Linked DNA regions of Drosophila melanogaster. The protein of the gene in region 1 interacts with the protein of each later gene in a pairwise test. Each region holds a gene or a part of one and is shown in the gene's direction. Other genes may lie near its edges. The genes, in order: Dip-B, CG14625, DNAlig1 and Yp1.

The links.
Region 2: the proteins of Dip-B (region 1) and CG14625 interact in a two-hybrid assay, tested with the Drosophila melanogaster proteins (one large-scale study listed by BioGRID).
Region 3: the proteins of Dip-B (region 1) and DNAlig1 interact in a two-hybrid assay, tested with the Drosophila melanogaster proteins (one large-scale study listed by BioGRID).
Region 4: the proteins of Dip-B (region 1) and Yp1 interact in a two-hybrid assay, tested with the Drosophila melanogaster proteins (one large-scale study listed by BioGRID).

Annotation. Positions count from the first base shown.
Region 1 is NT_033777.3:13,780,282-13,786,216, forward strand, and holds Dip-B (dipeptidase B), read left to right. Parts: upstream 1-2,006; 5' UTR 2,007-2,170; intron 2,171-2,358; exon of another isoform or gene 2,359-2,413; 5' UTR 2,414-2,546; coding exon 2,547-2,560; intron 2,561-3,535; coding exon 3,536-3,812; intron 3,813-3,879; coding exon 3,880-3,978; intron 3,979-4,035; coding exon 4,036-5,172; 3' UTR 5,173-5,395; downstream 5,396-5,935. Other genes in the region: CG9288 (uncharacterized protein), read left to right, coding at 1-387; CG9286 (uncharacterized protein), read left to right, coding at 773-895, 957-1,083, 1,143-1,786.
Region 2 is NC_004354.4:1,197,735-1,203,661, forward strand, and holds CG14625 (uncharacterized protein), read left to right. Parts: upstream 1-1,811; 5' UTR 1,812-1,883; coding exon 1,884-1,937; intron 1,938-2,890; coding exon 2,891-3,113; intron 3,114-3,193; coding exon 3,194-5,187; 3' UTR 5,188-5,423; downstream 5,424-5,927.
Region 3 is NT_033778.4:23,888,927-23,893,704, forward strand, and holds DNAlig1 (DNA ligase 1), read left to right. Parts: upstream 1-1,585; 5' UTR 1,586-1,669; coding exon 1,670-1,686; intron 1,687-1,743; coding exon 1,744-1,806; intron 1,807-1,861; coding exon 1,862-2,152; intron 2,153-2,212; coding exon 2,213-2,845; intron 2,846-2,900; coding exon 2,901-3,526; intron 3,527-3,579; coding exon 3,580-4,193; 3' UTR 4,194-4,249; downstream 4,250-4,778. Other genes in the region: DCP1 (decapping protein 1), read right to left, coding at 148-1,266; Upf3, read right to left, coding at 4,250-4,492, 4,549-4,778. UniProt on the Drosophila melanogaster protein: DNA ligase that seals nicks in double-stranded DNA during DNA replication, DNA recombination and DNA repair.
Region 4 is NC_004354.4:10,051,931-10,056,004, forward strand, and holds Yp1 (yolk protein 1), read left to right. Parts: upstream 1-1,880; 5' UTR 1,881-1,986; coding exon 1,987-2,206; intron 2,207-2,283; coding exon 2,284-3,383; 3' UTR 3,384-3,568; downstream 3,569-4,074. Other genes in the region: Yp2 (yolk protein 2), read right to left, coding at 1-350, 419-653. UniProt on the Drosophila melanogaster protein: Vitellogenin is the major yolk protein of eggs where it is used as a food source during embryogenesis. Along with Yp2 and Yp3, and their receptor yl/yolkless, required for maintenance of microtubule plus-end orientation towards the posterior pole of oocytes.

The DNA of each region.
Region 1 (5,935 bases):
TTTGATATAGGGAACGTAGATCGCAGCCAGAATGTGGTCAAGGGAAAGGGTAAAAAGGGCGGAATGATCCTACAGGCGGAGTCCACCTTGGCACTGCTCACCACAGCAAATGGAGGGACTTACAAGGTGCCCAGCTGCATTCGGGGCAAGCTGGTAGAGGTGAACACCGCCATTGTGGAGGAGCCAAAGCTTCTGGAGCAACTCCCCGAGGGAGCCGGCTACTTCGCCATTCTTCTGCCCAAAATCGAAAACTGCGATGCAATCAAGGCGAGTCTTTTAACCCAGGAGCAGTATGAGGAGCGCCTAAAATCGAAAAACGAAGGTCTACCTCAAATTGAGTCCACCGGGGACCACGCTCAAAACAAAAATAAGGAGATTCAGGCGTGATTTTGACCCTTGTTTTGTTGTGCTTCTTCTATAAGGCCTTTGTATTTTAAATTAATGATTCATACATATATTATATTGCTCAAAGTCAATGAGGACTTAAATAATAATAATTTTGACAGTAAACCACAAATAATATTTTCTGAAACTTGTGAATTTTGTTAATACTTATGGTCAAATGTAATGTCGGGTCTACTATTTAATTTCCAGTAAATTTTATTTCTTAACAGCCTGTTAACTCCGGTGCATTTACAGAACTCTGCCCACTTAACAGCACGCTCCGTAATAGTTGGCAACTCAATGCAACACGTGTGGACGATAAACAGCTGTTCGGGCGGCAATTTAGTGGAAGCGAAACAAAACCAAATTCGTTAACTAAATCTTAAAAATGTCAGCTAATAAGCAAAAGAAATTGAGTACCATGGAGGTGGACCCCAACGAGGATGTCTCCAGTTCCAGCGAGGATGATGACGACGACGAACCGCATCCAGATGCCTATAAGGGAAACGAGGTAATCTAAGTGCCTCCAAAATATGAAAAGCAAATGTGTTTCAAAATTAATATCCGGCTAGGAGGTGCAAATCGACTTTGAGGGACGAGCTCCAGTAGATCCCGATGCCCAGGGAATCTCTCAACTCCTGCAGCGACTATTCCTTCGTGCCCACATCAACTGCAACCAAATGGCGGATTTGATCATAGGTGAGCACTCCAAGGTACTATCTTGATCTATCTATCAGCACAACTTTTTTTGTTTCCAGCCCAAAATTTTATAGGCAGTGTGATCTGCCAGTGCGACGACGAGGGCACCGAAAGCGAAACGGAGGACGACAACATGGTCGAGGATGGCACCATCTTTGGAATCACCTCTGTGCTGAACCTGACCGCCAAAAAGGATCAGCCCAGCATCGCCCAGTTAAGGACCTACATACTGGATCGCGCCAAGACGCACGCTTCTCCGGAGGTTCAGCAGCAGTTGAAGGAGATTCTAGACAGCGAGCAGCGCCATGTGGGATTCTTGATCAACGAGCGCTTTATCAATATCCCTGCCCAGATCTCCGTGCCACTGCTGCAGAGTTTGCAGCAAGAAATCGAAGCCGCCAAGGCCAAGAAAATGAAATACGACTTTGGCACTCTGCTGCTGCTGGTTAAGTTCTACAGGAAAGAGTCGAAGAAGGGCAAACCGGGCGAGGACGTGTACACCAACGCTGAGGATGAGTTGCTTTCGGATCGGGCTAAGTTCTCCTTCGAGTATTCCATGGCCTCTGAAACCGATTCGGGCATGTCTGGCGATTGGCTGGAAGGCGATGCCGTGATGACGCCCTACAGGAAACTCCTGGTCCTGGAGGCCAAAAAACTTCCGCAGCTTATTGACGATATACAACGCTTTATTAATGGCGAATAAATATTTTTTACATTTAAAACTGCTGTGTTATTTGGCCTTAATATAACACCCCGACAAATATCTAATTAAGAAGTAATAATGTCCGGTCTCTAACGACCGATAAGCTTCTATTTCTTTGTAGTCCCATACAAAGAGTATCAAAAATTCGAACCGAAAGCTTTCCACATCCTTTATGACAATTGGCAACGCGGGCAAACCACAAACAGCTGTCACTTGGCCGGCATTTGAAAGCTTCGCACATGCCGGCTGGTCTACTGTGAAAAAAAAACCTGGTTGCCATTCCTTTGTTTTTTGCCACTGGTTAGTTTTGGCCCAGAAACTGCATCCACCGTGGACGTGACTGGCAAGAGGAACCCACAATAACAATTCCGAAGACCGAGCGACGTGAGTAGACTTTGCCTTTATTGTTTACAAGTTATATCCGAGTTCTAGAATTACGTACATAGCGAGCATACTGGCGATTATTCATCGCTCGTGCGATTTGTTTTCATTCGAAAACGCAAGTAGCAATTAAAAAAAAAAAACCTAAAGCCCGGCTCGCTAGTAAAATGTATAAAAAGCTTGGCCACCCAGCCAGAACATTGCAAATCGTCGCGGAGAGCTATCACAATCGCTCCTTATCGCCAGCTTTCCGTTCCAGATCCCGCTCCCAAGTTTCCAGTTTCCAGCTGCAGCGCTTTGTTCCCATCAGGGAGGTTCAGTGACGCCCCACTTGCCGATCAACCAAGTCGCGTGAGCTGCCTGCGAAAAAGTACTCATCATGGGTATCGAAAAGTGAGTATTTATTACCAACAGTTATTAGAGGGTGTGTTTTAAGTTAGCGCGGATCAGTTATCTAGCCACCGCTTAGCGACCGATTGGAAAAGCTCTCAAAGATTCGCCATCTTTTACAGTGAGGGTTAGTCGCTTAGCATCCATCAATTGCTATCTTATTTACCTTTCCCATAATTCCAAAACGAAATTAGAATGTTTTTAGTACTGCATATCTCAGCGTTTATCAGTTTTAATTAGTTGCCGGCAAGGAATAGATGTCATGAAAATTCCAAACTTTATCTTTTCCCAAAATAAAAACAATGTTTGGCGAAATACTGTATAAAAGTTAAAGGGGGGAGGTCACTTAATTTTATCATTATTACTTAGATAACGAGTTCTTGCTACTTCTGGAAACAGATATATATAGATCAACTTTTATTGTTTGATATGGGGCACTTCAAAAGATAACACAATTAAATGGTCAGCGACATAGGATTATTCTCCAAAATATTATAGACCCAGTTACCTAAGGATTGGTATTTAGTAGAAACACTTGAATAAGATTACAAATATTCTAAATAAGTACTTTAACACCATTTGTGCTAATACTTGGTACACTTGTTTCTAAATTGGAAATCGGTTTGTGATTATGGTCATTTCGAAAGCTTATCGCGATTCTTTATAGCACTTCGAGTTAAGATAAGCCCAGCGCCAGGAATGAGGGTAAACGAAAGGGGAACACACTGAAACATGGCCATGGTTGCTCCTAATACAGTGGGGACATTTTCTTTTGAAATAATAAATTGAAATACAAAGGCAACAGGCTGTTATGCAATATGAACGACTGCATCAGTTAATAAAGCAAATGTGACGTGATAAAATTCAATTCAATTAAACGCTATTGCACATTTAGTTGACACCCAGAAATGTTTCTTAATGAATACCAATAACGATTCCGTTGCGCACTTTAACTCTACTCTACGTGTGCCCCTCCAGAATTCTACCATGCACCCTCCGGCTGAACAAGCTGATGAGTCTGGCCGGCAACGACTGCCTGTGCATCATCGATCGCAATGCGGTTCCCAATGAACTGAAGGCCACCTTCGAGGAGCACCGCAAATTCGACAAGTCCTTCGACAGCAGCATATCCTGCTTTAAGGTGCCCAACGTGGATCAACCTGTGGTCTATGCCCCCGTCTCCGAGCTCACCGACTACGACGATGTGAGGAGCTACCAGGAGGCGGCCAAGCGGTCCATGGAGAAGGTTCTCAAGGTGGGTTTTTTTTTTCTATACATATTGTGTGAATTATGAAAGAAAATGTATATGTATTCTTTGCCAGGCTGGATTCCACACGCCGTTGCTGTTTGTGCCCAAGGTTAAGCGCTTCCCCGAGGTCGAACTCTGCACCGTTCTGGGAGCTCTGGAGCAGCTTTATGTGGTAATATGGATTATGTTTACTTTTATTTCAATCAATGTGCTAAAACACGTTTTTTAGCCCATTCAATTGCGCGAGGCAGGAACTTTGAAGGACCCCCGTGTGACCACGCTCAGTGTCCAGATCGATGATCCAAGGGCCGAAGCTATTTTCCAGGAAGCTCTCATTCTGGAGGCCGGTCGCTTTGTGGCCCGCGACATCGGAGTTGGGGACCCGGAGCGCATGACGCCCATCCAGGTGGAGAAGTACATCAAGCCGTTGTTCGACAAGCTCAACGTGAATGTGATCAGTGACACCCAGGTGTTGCAGAAGGAGTATCCCCTGTTTGCCGCCGTAAACCGGGCTGCTGATGCAGTGGAGCGTCATCGTGGTCGCATCATTTTCCTGGAGTACAAGCCTCCAAAGCCGGCGAGAAAAACTCTGATGCTGGTCGGCAAGGGTGTTACCTATGACACCGGTGGTGCTGACATCAAGGCCGGTGGTGTGATGGCCGGTATGTCGCGCGACAAGTGTGGAGCGGCTGCTGTCGCTGGATTCATGCAGGTGGTCAGTCAACTGCAACCGGATGATATCCATGTTGTGGCTGCCCTGTGCATGGTGCGCAATTCCGTGGGCGAGGAGTGCTACGTGGCCGATGAGGTTATCACCTCGCGAGCTGGTCTTCATGTGAGGATTGGAAATACTGATGCCGAGGGTCGCATGTGCATGACCGATGCCCTGTGCCGCATGAAGGAGTTGGTCGTGGAGCAGAATCTCCCGGATCCGCATCTTTTCACCATTGCCACCTTGACTGGTCACGCCTTCATCTCGGCAGGTGAGGGTCAGTCGATTGCCATCGATAACAGCGTGGCCCATCGGGAGGATCACGCCAGAAGACTGCAGGCTGCTGGACAGGCCTTCGGAGAGCCCTTCGAAGTGTCCATTCTCCGTCCCAGTGACTTCTCTTTTAACGCTGGAAAGGTGATTGGCGAGGATTTGGTGCAGGCCAATAATGCCCCGTCGGTGAGGACTCCTCGCGGTCACCAGGTGCCCGCCGCCTTTATGATTAAGGCTTCTGGACTGGACAAACACGGGTTGGATTCAATGCTGCCCATTAAGTACACCCATATTGATATCGCCGGCAGTGCCGGTGAGCACCCAGCGATGCCCACAGCTGCCCCTCTTGTTTCCCTGGTGAAGACCCATCTGCAGAAGTAAATCATGTCCACCTAATATTCAGGAGGATGTGTACACGATCACCACAAACAGTACTTATACACCCACGTGCTTAGCTAACCAACAATATTATCCTACTAACTGCATCACTGTTTTTTAATAAAGGCAAAACCGAGTTCAGATTGTATTCATAAATGTATGTCACTAATTTGGTAATCGTTTACAAATAAATGTGAAAATGATTTGTTTTTTTCCTTAAGCTTACAAAGCAAATATCTCATTATATTCATCAACATGGAAATATAAACATTATATCATCCCATTATAGAGAATAACCACCCTACATATATTTGTTAAGTATACAAGAAAGCCGCGTGGGTATTCGGTCTTTTTTATTTCTTTTTTATTATTACTGCATTTCCCAGCTGCATTGTTTGCATAATTGGCGGGTGCCCTGCATTTCGAGCTCTTGTTGGCCATCTACGGTATGGCTCGTACTCCTGCTCTTCCCCTTTCGCAGCCTTTTCTCTTCAGCTTTGCAGCGCCTTCTTTTTTTGTAGCTTGGCCCACAGCCTAGAACCCGTTAGTCGCTTCTTGGCCATGCTCTTCGCTTTGGGCCCCGTTCCCGGGAGCTTGGCCCAGCAACTTGGCGTGGATTGGCTTGGTTGGGGGATGGGGATGTGGATGGGGCCCGCTTGTCAGCTGTCGCATGTGTCTTGGTACCGTTATTGCCTGGCTTTGGAAACTCGGTCAAGAGTGTCTCATTCATGCTGTGATTGCATAATATACCGTTGGCTCCCGTTGG
Region 2 (5,927 bases), on another chromosome or scaffold:
TATTTGCCGTAAAGTGAGTTCTGATCTCTCTGGCCAGAACTTGCGTTTTTTAGCAGCAGAAGAGGTCACTTTTCAGATCTAAACGATCATCTTGAAAGAAAATACCAGCTCCGGCTATAAACAACTAATTGCTTTACAATGTGTGGCAGGGTGGGAGATGAAAGATGTAAGCAATCCGATCCACAAACATAACATTTTTCAGCATTGTCGAAGCGTTGCAGCTGCCACAGTGCAGCAAAGGCAATAGGAAAGTTAAAGAAATAAATAAATGCTGATCGGTGTATGAAGATGTATGAGATGAAGAACTTAAATACATTTACGATACATTTCAAGCCGCAGTTAAATCTTTGATTGAATTAGTTAAATTGAATTAAAAACCCAATCCTTGGCAAATCAATTGGTATTGAGACTGTTCATCTGGTGCGGCTGCCACAGCTGTTTCTTTGGCAGCTGGCAGCTGGTAGTGGATTTGGTAGTTTCTGCAGTTTTTGGCCGCATAACGGGGCATGGATAGCCATGGCTATATGTATCTATGTACCTATGGCAATCGCACTCGACTGCTGACAAGGTTGTTGATCTGCACATATGTGGAGGAGCCGAAACGCTTTGCCAGCTTTGTTTTGCTTTGCTTTAGCCGCTGCAAAGTTGTTTCGCTTTTATTATTACGGCTATTATCGTTAGTGTTAAGTGTGGCAATTGTTTCATTTTCAGTTTCAGTTTCGTTTTTCGCTTCTCATGCAGAATATTAAAATATAAATCATACGCCCTGTGGGCCAGCGCCATAGTCCGCAATAAAGAAATCCCCGGCCAGCACGTAAGGGAAATCAATGAAATGCCAATTGGCAAGTTATTCCAAGGCGTACTCCCAGTTCTCTAAGTCCGGATCTCTTTATCGAAATTGAAATCATCGCTGTTGGTTTTCGGCAACGGCAATTGCTGCTGCTCTTTCGGTAAAATCATCATAAATCAGCGAACACTTTTCTCCGTTTGTCTGGGCTCCTTGTTAATTATTATGCACTGAATCAGTGACCATGAAGCCAACCACCGAGTGAAGATCTGCCACGACCAACCACCGACTGCCCGCAATGTAAACACTGTGAGAATACAGCAAATGGGGAAATTTAAGAATACATAAAATAAGACAGATCTAGTGTTAATGGATTTGTTTCAAGTTTAATTTAAAGGGTGCTAAAGGCTCCCTGTCGAGTCATTGGACTTGCAAAAGTCCTGCTGCTTTCCGGACTCCACTCCAGAGTGGGTTAGTGACTACTGCCCGTTGTCCACTATTTGTCGTTTAACCCAATAAATGCCTTCGGTGGCGAGGATTTTACAAGTCAATTACGGGTATTACCCACCTGTGCCGGCAAACATTTCATTGAACTGCCTGTGGTGGAATGGGGATTGTTTGGCTTAGCTTATGGCTTAATTGGCCATCAAAGTGGCAGCTTAAACAGAGGCCGAAACTGAAGCCAAGAAACTAAAAACTATAAACCAGTTGTCCCGTTGTCCTCTCTCTTTCGTGCTGGCCTATCGCCTTCTCTGTTGCACCTTATCGACTTATAATGGGCGAACTTATCACGCATACGCCGTGTTGTGCGTCGATGGCTTATTACGATTCGAATTGTCATCGAAAGTGAAGCGATCTTTCTCCCCTTCTCTATCTCCAACTGTCTCTCTCTCTTCGCTTGCACTTGCACTTTTCTCGCTTTTCTTTGGCGCGCACATTCGCATAAATTTTCCGCTGCAGCGGTTCGCATCATTATAAAAGCCTCGCCTCGACAGCTGGCCGCTAACAATTCCAGCTGAGACTCTGGCGCGCCATGATGTCAGCGCTCACATCTCGATTCCGTAATCTTCAATATCAGGAGCACCACCTTGTCCATATGGGAGCAAACATTCTCAGCCGGCGGCAATGGTGCCTGTGTCTGCTGATCATCGTAAGTAGTGCGCTCACGTCCAAGGATTCGGATAATTCGATTCACGAGGAGTACCTTTTTTTTTGGTGGCCAGTGATCCAAAGTGTAGTGATGTATTTGAAAATTCATAAATGTTGGACTCGAGAGAATCTCCAGAAGTAAAAAAACAGCCCATTTGAAAATGAGATTTTTTTTATTTAATAATTCAGTGAAGAAGAGTGATAAATTTGTAAAAAATATAAATAAATATGTAAAAAAATATATATAAATGTATCTTACGATAAAAAACGAAAATAAGTGAAAAAAATATGTAAAAATACTCAATTAAAACTTTTTAAAAACATTAATATTTGAATCTTCAGTAATGAACTGCTGAAGCTTATCCCGCTAAAATTACATTTCGGAACATAACACCAAATTTTTAAACAAAGACCAAAAAGATTAGCCTTTTTGGGAAAATATGTCCCGAATGACTGAGAATTACGTTTTTGATACATAATCGCCAAATTCTTTTCCCATTTCGATCGAAAAGGATCCATTTGGCGATTCGCAATTGCGTGCTGCGGGTTTTTCATGCCGGTGTGTCATTGCCCTCTCCTCTGGAAAACGGTCCATTGAACTTGGCCAACTGAGCGCCGCCAACTCAATCATACAGAAATTGACTATCAACCGCCTCCTCCTTCTCCTTTTCTTTCTCTTCTCCTCCTTGAAAGCGAAAGCGAATTGGCGGAGTTTAATTAGTTTAATTGCGAAGTAGGCACAAGCCAATGAGTCTGAAACGAAGAGGCCAATTTAAGGCAGTTCGCCTAACTAGCACCCGTTGAAATGGCACACTCATCAGTTGGCCAAGGTTCCTTGTTTGTCCTATCGTTTTACTCATTTTATTTTAATGTACGGTTTTTATTGTAAGCCATGCGAATCTCCGATTATGTAATTTTCAAATAGCTGTGATTCTTTCTAATTTCTCTGAACAGATGTCGACGCTTTGCAGTGCCGTGACTGTGACCTCAGGCACGTCTGGGAACAGTCGCCGTCGATCGGGAGGTTCAGGAGCGGTGTCCTCTTTGGAGGTGACTGGGGAGAAGGCCTTTCCCGATCAACTGGCTATGGCAGCTAGCCGTAGGGGCTCCGACGATCGTGGTTACTCCAGGCGGGGATCGGTTACACAAAGCAGATTAAAGGAGGCGCCCAGCAAAGGTAATAAACCGTCCCATTTTGTTTGGCAAGCCTAAAAGTATGCACTAATCCGCAATCGACATGCATTGTATACTTCCCAGATTACAGCTTTGGCCAGGTGGAATTAAATCTCGTTCGCCCAGAGCACGAATCGCATCCAAAGCAGACCGCAGAATCCGGATCCGGAGCGTATGTCAACCTAGAAGACTCTAAATCGGCAGCCGAGTATGTGGCCAATGCCATCAAGTTGGCCTACAAACAGCCACCGACTCAACTGCGAGGTCAAAGCCAAGTTCAGAACCCTAGCAACAACCACATCCAGGCGCAAAAGGAACAGCAACCTACCACCCAGAGAAGTTACCAGGAACAGAGAAGGGATAGGGAGATCCTGGAGATGCAATTGCAGAAGGAACTGCATCAGCAGGCCCTGCTCCTGTCCTCAGGACCCTCGTCGCCATCCTCGTCTGGATCGTCGTCCTCCTCTTCTCCGCCGTCGCCCGCCCTAGCGCCTGCGCCAGTCTACGAAAAGGAACCCGTGACCCGGAGCTATGAACTCTACGAACACGCAACCGAGGACGAGTCCCATGTCCAGGCCCAAGAGCAAGACATCGAACGCCACTATCGTCCCAAGTACAGCAATAACTACAACAACATCTACGCCCCCTATCAACCGCCGCAAATTTACAGAAATCTCGAGGCCGAGGCCGAGGAAAAAGTCAGGGTCTCTGCCTCCACGGAAATTCCCAAATCGGAGATAATGAAACAGATTGAAAAGTCCGTGATCAAGTACATGAAGGAACTAGAGGCCGAAGGTAAAATCATAAGTACGCCCCAAGAGACGGCCACGCCTCCTCCACCACCACCGCCTCCGCCGATTACCAAGACCTACTACAAGTCGCAGACGCTCTCATCTGGTCTCCATTCCGGTTCCATTCCCTCGTCGCACTCGCATTCACACTCGGAGGAAAAGCGTTACAGCAGCAGTACAGTGAGGCCCAAGTATACGGTCCCACCAACGACAAAACAACAACAGTTGCATCACCACCAGCAGCAGGTGCTCCACCCACAGCACCACAGCCACCAAATAGCCGGAAAACTGAGGGGCTCTTCATTGGCAATAACGAATTCAAAGCCCATTCAGCACTTTCAGTCCGAAACGGAAACGGCATATCAGGCCCCCGATTTGCCCGTCGACGAACTGAGTCCGAATGTGGAGTTTATTTACAAAATCAAGACCCGAGCTCCCCTGCAAACGGCCACAGTGAAGACGGTTTCGAAGCCCTACACTTTGCCTCTGAAAAGTGCCGAGCACTTTGACCACAGTGCGGCCCTCAAGAACATCGAAGAATTCGATCTATCCCACGTAGTTCCCACTCCAGATCGAGTGGAACGGGAGCGGGAAAGGGAAAGGGAAAGGGAGCGTGATTCTCGGGAAGATCAGGAGAGGCTTACAAACTCTGGCAAGCAGCACAAGTTGTATTTCAATTCGGAAATCTATCATGACATCAATGCCTTGCCCTACAAAAGTAAAGAGGCAGCTCTGCAGGAATATCGCCACAAGCTCAAGGCTTCCGGGTCATCCGGGGAACTGCATCCGGACTACAAAGGCTACTCCTCATCCGGTTACTTTGCCGAGCCGGAAGCAGAGACTGAGAATGAATCAAAACTAATCCTTAACGAAGAAGGCTATCCCTATCATTATGTGCTGAAGAAGGAAACCCTACTAGATGATCATGAGCCCTGGTTGTCCCACGCGCACGGCCACGCCCACCAGCACACCCATGGCCACGCCCACTCGCACAGCAACAGCAACAAGCACCCGAGTCTTGAATACGACAGCTACAGTCCGAAGTTCAACAACAATCCCGAGGGCTACGGCTATCAGCACACGTACAAGGTCAGAGGTCAACCAGCAGGCGGTGCCGGGTCGGGGGGCGTGGCTGGCATAGGCAGTAACACGGGGACCGGAGCTGGAAAGCGCGGCAAGCGGGGGGGAGGCGGTCATCCCAGACAAGAGGCGATTAAGAAGCAACTGCGCTCATCGGAGGTCAAGGACTTGGAAGCCAGTTTGGCTCTGAGGCCACCGCCCAAATAGTAAACCCCATCCCTCGATTAATCAATCGAATAAGCCGCAAAACTCCACCACCACCCTCATAGCTTATTTTATGCCAGAATTTCGAGCATGCTTCATTGTATATGCTATTGTCTTTTTTTTGTAGAATCTAAGTGTAAGTACGATTATTTATTGTATGGCCACCAACTGCTGAAGTGGTAGCCAACTAAAACAGACGATAACAAATTACGCCAATAAACAAATTAATGAAATAACTTAAAATAAAAACTATCGCTTATCCATTGACATTTTTAAATAGCTCAAGACTTCATTCCATTATCATGATAGCCCCATGAACTAGATTTTCTATATCTATCCAAAAATTCGAACTGCTTGGAAAAGTGCGAATGCCGCCTCTGTTGATCAGTTTTTTTTTTTTAGTTTCGATTTTTATTCGTCTCATTTCTTCGCTCTATGTGTGGGTGTGAGTGTTTGAGTGTGTGTGTGTGTGATGTAATTAATAATTTTAGCGCACAATTATAAGGCAGCCGCCCACATCCACCCAATGAACGAACTGATTGAAACATCCAGAGATTCAGCCTCGGATTGGGTAAGTCACAGTAAAAGTGCCTCCTCTTTTGCAATTTAACTCTTTCTCTTGGTGGAAGTACATCCACCGCATTTGCATTCTGGTTTTATATAGGAACACAAGTTGTACGGGTAAGAATCTGTTGTAAATGGCAGAAAAGAGTGTCAAATGTGTTGTTACGTGAGATTTGGAC
Region 3 (4,778 bases), on another chromosome or scaffold:
TCCGGCGGGGCTTCTAGATTTTAAATCTACGACTGCCCTTGTCGGCTTACAGCTATTACATTTTGTAAATTAACTCGGCTTGAACTCGAACTCCATGCGAACAAATGAAAATATGGGCTGCAATTCGGAAATGTTGAATATTTCTGTTTATTGATATGTGGAGCTGGAGTCCAGCAGTAGATTGGAACAGCCGTTCAGGTAGGCCTTGTGCAGCTTGTTGGCAAACTCCTTATCGTTCTGGATAAGGTACGTGAAGGCCTGGACGAACTGCGTCGAGTTCAGCAGTGGCTGCTGTGGCTGCTGTGGCTGCTGTGGCTCCGGATTGCCGTTGTTGGGCGCGTCGAACATGGTGGGCGGCATGAGGGCCGGCCCGGGCTTGTCGCCAGCCAGCAGTCTCCGCAAGCACTTGCCGGCATCGTCGTTGGCCATCAGCGCCGACGAGGACGGGGCGACTGTCGGAGATTGAGCCGTAGCGTAGCTTTTACCGATCTTCAGGTCGCTCAGGAGCTGAATGTTAAGCTGCTGCATCTTCTGGAAGGGCGACAGCCGGCTCTCGTGATTGTCCCTGCCTGCCGGGGGCAACAGATCCTCGCCAGGCGTGGCTGCCCGCTGCTGTTTCTCCAGCTGGTCCACGGAGAGCGGCTGGACGCGGTGGAACAGTGACTCTGCCGTGGCCTGCTTGGCCGATTCGAAGAACTTCAACACATTGCCGGCCGTTACGTTCTCCGCCGAAGGCGTCTTCGGCTGCCCGCCGCTCACCTGGGCATTGTAGTCCTTCTGGGCCTTGGTCAGCATGTTGAATATGCTGGCCGGCTGGCTGCTGTCCTGCTTTGGCTGCTGGGGCGCGGAGACGTGACGCTGGGCCTGGCCATTCGTTCCCTGATCCTTGGACTTGAGCAGCCCGTTCACCAAGCCGCTGATGCGGTCGCACTCCTCGCTGTTGTAGAACCAGAAGCCGCGGATGCGCGAGCGCTCGTTGCGGTAGAGCAGGAACGGCGGCTGCGACTGCAGCTCCAGGCTGCCGGTGATGGGCTCCACGAAGGACGTGGTGTTCAGTCGGTTGTTGATGAAGATGCTGTGAAAGGGCTCCGCGTTGCGGTGGTATATGAAGAAGGCTCCCTCCACATCGGTCTTTTCCCACTCGTTCTGCGACGAGTTGAACGTGTAGAAGGCGACGTGCGAGGACGAATCCACGATCTCCTTGGCGTACGGGTCGATCTTCTTGATGGCCGCCAGGTTCATTCGCGTGATGCTCTCGTCGGCCATTGTAAATTGTATGTAATCTTCAGTTTTGGCTGTGCTATTGCGAATTGCAATTATTTGTGAATTTAACGGCGCTCTGGTCACACTGCCCCGTGGATGTTTTCCCGTGTTTATCAACGACTGTGCTGCGGTCACACCGAATGACAATAAACTCTTCCTTTTGTCTATTAATGATTTGTTTGAGAAATATTAAGTCGATTGACTTGCATATAAAAATGGCCACAATTGTACGTAATAATATTTCTCAATTATGTAGCATAAACATTTAATTTATGTTTACTAATAAAATTTTCAACTTCGATAGCATTTCCATTTCAATATATCGATACTGAAGACCAGCTCTAGAAACTGGCGGGAACTAATTGCATTGCAATTTGTATTTATTTGAACACAGAATTGCCACAAAATGCAAAAGTCTATAACGTAATTTACGATTTAACAAATGCTAAGTATTGCCAATCTAACAATCCCCCGTTTCAGCTCCTTCTTCAAGAAGAAATCCGATGCCACCGACAGCCCCTCGCCGCCCAAGAAAGTTCCTAAGTAAATGGTGCCGCTGTTTTCTTGTTTCATTACTAAATTCCTCGACAAATCATAGGATTGATGCGAAGACCGAACTCCCAGATGAACCCCACATCAAGAGCGAAAGTGCCTCCCCGGAAACTAAGCCCAAGGTAGAACCTATGTCTGTGGATTCCGAGGAGAAGACAAGTCCGGTGAAAAATGTTAAGAAGGAACCAAAGGAAGTCGATGACAAGACCACTGACAAGAAGGTCACAACCATAGGTCTCAACTCCACTGCCGCTACTAAGGAGGATGTGGAAAACTACGATCCATCCGCCGACTCCTATCATCCGCTCAAGAATGCCTACTGGAAGGACAAAAAGGTGTAAGTAGTGCAGGATTTTGAGCCTCCAAGGCGAATTATATCAAAGGAAACACTTTCCAGCACTCCCTACTTGGCACTGGCCCGCACATTTCAAGTAATCGAGGAGACCAAAGGCCGGCTCAAGATGATCGACACGCTGAGCAACTTCTTCTGCTCTGTGATGCTGGTCAGTCCGGAGGATCTTGTGCCCAGCGTCTACCTCAGCATCAACCAACTGGCGCCCGCCTACGAGGGACTGGAGCTGGGCGTTGCCGAGACCACCTTGATGAAGGCCATTTGCAAGGCAACGGGGCGTAATTTGGCTCACATTAAATCGCAGACGCAGCTAACCGGGGATCTGGGCATCGTGGCCGAGCAGTCGCGCGTTTCACAGCGCATGATGTTCCAGCCAGCGCCTCTGAATGTGAGGGATGTGTTCCGGAAGCTACGCGAAATAGCCAAGCTATCCGGTCAGTCGAAAATGGACCTGGTGTACAATATGTTTGTGGCCTGTCGATCGTCGGAGGCTCGCTTCTTTATCCGTTCATTGATTGGCAAGCTAAGAATTGGCATTGCAGAGCAGAGTTTGCTCACAGCGCTGGCCATTGGTTTGGTGAAAAAGAACCACATCGATGATTGCAAGGCTAGCAAGGTGCCGGATGTGTATAAGGATGAAATAGTCGACACCACTTTGCTGTTGAAAACTGCATACTGGTAAGAACTAACTTAAGAACCAGCTAATAATTCAGATGCTAACGAACTTTTGCAGTCAGTGTCCCAACTACGATATCATTATACCGGCCATTCTAAAGTACGATATTAAGGAGCTGCAGGAACGCTGCCCCATGCATCCCGGCATGCCGCTGAGGCCCATGCTCGCCCAGCCCACCAAGGGGGTCCATGAGGTATTTGAGAGATTCGGCGGCATGCAAATCACCTGCGAGTGGAAATACGATGGAGAGCGGGCCCAAATCCACCGCAACGAGAAGGGGGAGATCAGCATATTCTCGCGCAACTCCGAGAACAACACGGCAAAATATCCGGATTTGATTGCCAGGAGCACTGCCTTGCTCAAGGGCGACGTAAAGTCCTACATCATAGACAGCGAAATTGTGGCCTGGGATGTGGAGCGCAAGCAGATTCTGCCGTTTCAGGTGCTCAGCACGCGCAAACGGAAGAACGTTGATATCGAGGAAATCAAGGTCCAAGTCTGTGTCTACATCTTCGATCTGCTGTACATCAATGGCACTGCTCTGGTGACCAAAAACCTGTCGGAGCGTCGCAAGCTCCTGTTGGAGCACTTTCAAGAGGTCGAGGGCGAGTGGAAGTTCGCCACTGCTCTGGACACCAATGACATAGACGAAGTGCAGCAGTTCCTGGAGGAGTCTATCAAAGGTTTGCCCTGCCAACCAACCTAAAAGTTGTTTACTTAAGCTTTATTTCACTAGGAAATTGCGAGGGCCTCATGGTCAAAACATTGGATGAGGAGGCCACCTATGAGATTGCCAAGAGATCCCGCAACTGGCTGAAATTGAAGAAGGACTACCTATCCAATGTGGGCGACTCACTCGATTTGGTGGTCATTGGTGGCTACAAAGGCAAGGGCCGGCGAACTGGAACCTACGGAGGATTTTTGCTTGCCTGCTATGACACCGAAAACGAGGAGTATCAGAGCATATGCAAGATTGGAACTGGCTTCACTGATGAGGACCTGCAAACGCATTCCGAGTTTTTGGGCAAACATGTGACCAGCGCCGCCAAATCCTACTACAGATACGACCCCAGCCTGGAGCCCGATCACTGGTTTGAACCGGTCCAGGTGTGGGAAGTCAAATGCGCGGATCTGTCGCTCAGTCCGATCCACCGAGCAGCCATTGGCATTGTGGACGGAGAGCGGGGCATTTCCTTGAGATTCCCTCGGTTCATTCGGATACGCGACGACAAGAATAGCGAAAACGCAACGGACGCCAATCAGGTGGCCCACATGTACCAGTCGCAGGATCAGGTTAAAAATAATCAAAAGTCGAGCACACAAATGGAGATGGAGGACGAGTTCTACTGACCGGTCTGCTCCAGCCATGTGTACACGATTTATTTAACAATAAAAGTCTGTTATCGCTATTTGACGCTGGTGCTGCTCTCGGAGGATTTGGAGAAGCGACGAGTTTCGAGCTCACACTCCTTCACCTCCTTCGGTTTGGGTTTGTTGCGCCGATTGGGGCGTTTGTTCCTCTTCGAAGTCTTCTCCTCCACCACGGAAGCCTCTCCATCCGAGCCATCTTTGCCGCCTGCACCTTGGGGCAGCTCATCTGATGCACGAATTCGGGCTTTGGGCTGGTAAATGGCAATCGATGGTCGATCCTGTAAACATCAAGCGGGTTAGTAAAATGTCGAGGGGGGTAATAGGTGAGACCCACTTTATTCCGAATGCGCCGCTCCTCTGAAGCTCGAAATTGAGCAGCCTTGATGGCTTCCTCTGCAGTTTCGTGGGCGGAACCTGCTGGCTGCTTGTCTGCGCCGGTTCTTTTTTCCTTGCGACCACCTCTGGCAGCCGGTGTAAAAACCTTGACAGCAGCTTCTGGTGTCTCGGTGTTTTCAGTCGCAGGCTTTTCTTTCGAGGCCTCCGCAGCGTTAGAAGTGGATGGCA
Region 4 (4,074 bases), on another chromosome or scaffold:
ACCGTTCTGCTTCCTGCGCTGCGTTTGCTGCTCCTCGCTGGAACTCCTCTGGCTCTGCTCCTCGTTGGAGTAGTCGGTGGTCTCATAGGGCTGGAGGTTGTAACGCTGCTGGTAGGCCTGCACCAGCTTCCTGGTAGCCTTCTGCACTTGGGTGTTGGTCTCGGGCAGGCCCTGGATGAAGATGGTGACCTCATCGTCGCCGAACTTCTGCTGGCGCTTAACCTTCTCCACCAAAGTGTTCAGGTTGAACTCGATCTTCTGGCCGCGCTCGCCGACAATGTAGCCCCTGATCTGGCTGGGTTCCGGGGTGTAATCGGGCTTGAAGACATGGTTGAACTGGGACAGATGGTCTGCGGGATAGGATAGTGCGTGTAAATATAACATGATTGGTAGAACTTTTAGAGATCCTTGAACTTACAGAGCTTGTCCAACAGCGTAGCGCCCTCCTCCAGGCTCATCTCCTGCAGCTTCTTAAGGGTAACCTCCTTCAGGTTGGGCAGCTCCTCGACTTCACGTGGATTGACCCAGTTGCTGGGCTGCTCCACATTGTCCAGGGAGTTGGATCGGCGACCGGAACGGTTACCAGATTGGGGATTACCCATGGCGACCGCCAGAAGGCAGGCCATAACGCAAAGGGTGCGCAGAGGATTCATTGTGGCTTCCAAGTTCGACTTTTTCAGACACCGTACCAAATTGTACTGCATACCCACTGCTGCGACTCAATGCATTTTATACCCCTTGGAATCGGTAGTCTATACACACTATAATGCACGCGCCGGAAGCAATTGATTTCAGCAACCGATTTCTGGATCAGCACAAATGCATTGATTCGCAGCGTCAGTGATTTTGCAACACTTCTGATGAGCTCTAAAATTTCGTTCCCCTTTTTTTTTTTTTTTTTTGGTTATTAAGTATCCATCGGGTAACAGGTAATGGGAAACTTCTTTAACCAGCACTTTCATAACATAAACAAAAGGTGGTCTGGCCATTAAGGGGCTTGACAGTGGGGGCACGACTTGAACTCATGCACAGGTCAAGATAAAGCTTTTGTTTGAAAAAAATATTTGGCAATTTTGTGAAATTTATGCAACTATTTAAGTGTTTGCCAAAAGAATTGTCTAAATTGTTCTATAAGCAGATAGCACTTTCAGGGAAATGCAAAATAAATATATTATAAATTATAATATTATAAATATAAATATTTACATCTATCGAAATATACATATATTTTTAATAAGTAGAATGAGTTACATGAAATAGCATCGATAAGATCATATATTATAAAACGAATCCCGGATATTAAAATAGAATCTCCTTGAAAAACGTTCCCCTGAATCAATTCATTTCTAAAGTCCAAAAACAAATATAATCTTACTATCTTGCCTTGGAAACTACAAACATTCCATACTTTTCGTATCAATGGCAAACATCTAGGAATCAATGAACTGTATCGGCCTTGAATTGAAAATGCAAAATTATGGACTTTTAATTAAGCAGAAGAAAAGTGCCAAATATAAATCTACTTATAAACAAAAAAAATCAATAAAATGTTGTATATAATAACCAACTAATGCCCATGTTAGATCTATATTTTATGCATTTATTTGATCAAATCCGGTGCACAACTACAATGTTGCAATCAGCGGAGCCTACAAAGTGATTACAAATTAAAATAATCAGGCGGCAGCAGGTGCTGCTAAGTCATCAGTGGGGTCAGCTATAGGTAGGCCCCGTGTCTATTTTGTATGTATACAATTTATTCCGCTATCGATAGCATATACACTCATCCGATTCCCAGGCACCCGAAAACCCTTACTCAGCACAAGTGACCGATTAAGGCCTGAGCCAGCGAAAAGCGAGTCAGAAAATGGGAAATCGCTCAGCGCAAATTGTGGTATATAAACCACCATCGTTGGATTTGGAAGGCCAGTTCAACTCACTCAGTGTTGAAGTCGCATCCGCAGGACCAAATCCCAAATCCGAACCATGAACCCCATGAGAGTGCTGAGCCTTCTGGCTTGCTTGGCGGTCGCCGCCTTGGCCAAGCCCAATGGCCGTATGGACAACTCCGTCAACCAGGCATTGAAGCCGTCGCAGTGGCTCTCCGGATCCCAGCTGGAGGCCATTCCCGCCCTCGACGATTTCACCATTGAGCGTCTGGAGAACATGAACCTGGAGCGTGGCGCCGAGCTGCTGCAGCAAGTCTGTGAGTAATCCTAGATGCAGATAAAAAAAAAAAAAAAAAACATCGAATATTCTATGGAATATATATATCCTTTGTAGACCACCTGTCGCAGATCCACCACAACGTTGAGCCCAACTATGTGCCCAGCGGCATCCAGGTCTATGTGCCCAAGCCCAATGGTGACAAGACCGTTGCTCCCCTGAACGAGATGATCCAGCGCCTGAAGCAGAAGCAGAACTTTGGTGAGGATGAGGTGACCATCATTGTGACCGGACTGCCCCAGACCAGCGAGACCGTGAAGAAGGCGACCAGGAAGCTGGTTCAGGCTTACATGCAGCGCTACAATCTGCAGCAGCAGCGCCAGCACGGCAAGAACGGCAACCAGGACTACCAGGATCAGAGCAACGAACAGAGGAAGAACCAGAGGACCAGCAGCGAGGAGGACTACAGCGAGGAGGTTAAGAACGCCAAGACCCAAAGCGGCGACATCATTGTGATCGATTTGGGCTCCAAGCTGAACACCTATGAGCGTTATGCCATGCTCGACATTGAGAAGACCGGCGCCAAGATCGGCAAGTGGATCGTCCAGATGGTCAACGAGTTGGACATGCCCTTCGATACCATTCACCTGATTGGCCAGAATGTGGGTGCCCATGTTGCCGGTGCCGCTGCCCAGGAATTCACCCGTCTCACCGGACACAAGCTGCGCCGTGTCACCGGTCTGGATCCCTCCAAGATCGTGGCCAAGAGCAAGAACACCCTGACCGGTCTGGCTCGCGGTGATGCTGAATTCGTTGACGCCATCCACACCTCGGTCTACGGCATGGGCACCCCCATCCGCTCCGGTGATGTTGACTTCTATCCCAATGGACCTGCCGCCGGTGTTCCCGGAGCCAGCAACGTGGTGGAGGCCGCCATGCGTGCCACCCGCTACTTCGCCGAGTCCGTGCGTCCCGGAAACGAGAGGAGCTTCCCCGCCGTGCCAGCCAACTCCCTGCAGCAGTACAAGCAGAACGATGGATTCGGCAAGCGTGCCTACATGGGCATCGATACCGCTCACGATCTCGAGGGTGACTACATTCTGCAGGTGAACCCCAAGTCTCCTTTCGGCCGCAACGCACCCGCCCAGAAGCAGAGCAGCTACCACGGTGTCCACCAGGCGTGGAACACCAACCAGGACAGCAAGGACTACCAGTAAGGATGAGTCTGCTTACTCTGGACACCTGGAATGGCAACTACCAAACAACAAACAACCACCCAACCACACAAACACTGTAGTCCCTAAGTTGAACCCATATTGGCCCTTTTCTTGAGATTACCTAAACATTTAACGAGCACATCGCGAAATTCAGCAAATAAACGCTCGATAAAGAGCTTAAAAATATCTATTTTGTTTATCTTAAATCATTTAGGAACTATAATAGTCTAATAGATCATCCCAAAAAAAAGGGAACAAAATCAAAAGTAAATATCGTAGTTTGGTTTTGTAAACTTAGATTTATTTTATTGTTGTCGGTGTTTTTGTGGTGTTGAGGTCTAATCTTCTCCACTTATGGCTTGGGCTCAGATTAGAAAATAATTTGTTTACGGTAATTTGGGGGGAGTATTGCTCATGGGAGGCTGGCGTTATAACAATAAACCTCAACATGAAGCGATAACAATTAGAAATACAGCCAAGAGTTTAGGATCAGGGCTTAGGCGAGAGACTTTTGCTTATTTAAACTTCCACCTATTTAAATAGGATGTTTCCATCTTCTGATTTTTAGTTTCAATCTTCGCTTAGTTAAGTGCACATTCCGAATTGTTAGAAATATTAATACTATATACTTGTTGGTAGCTCTAGCATATCAATGCAAAATATTGTTGGAACCAAGGAGTTCGGGCCAAGT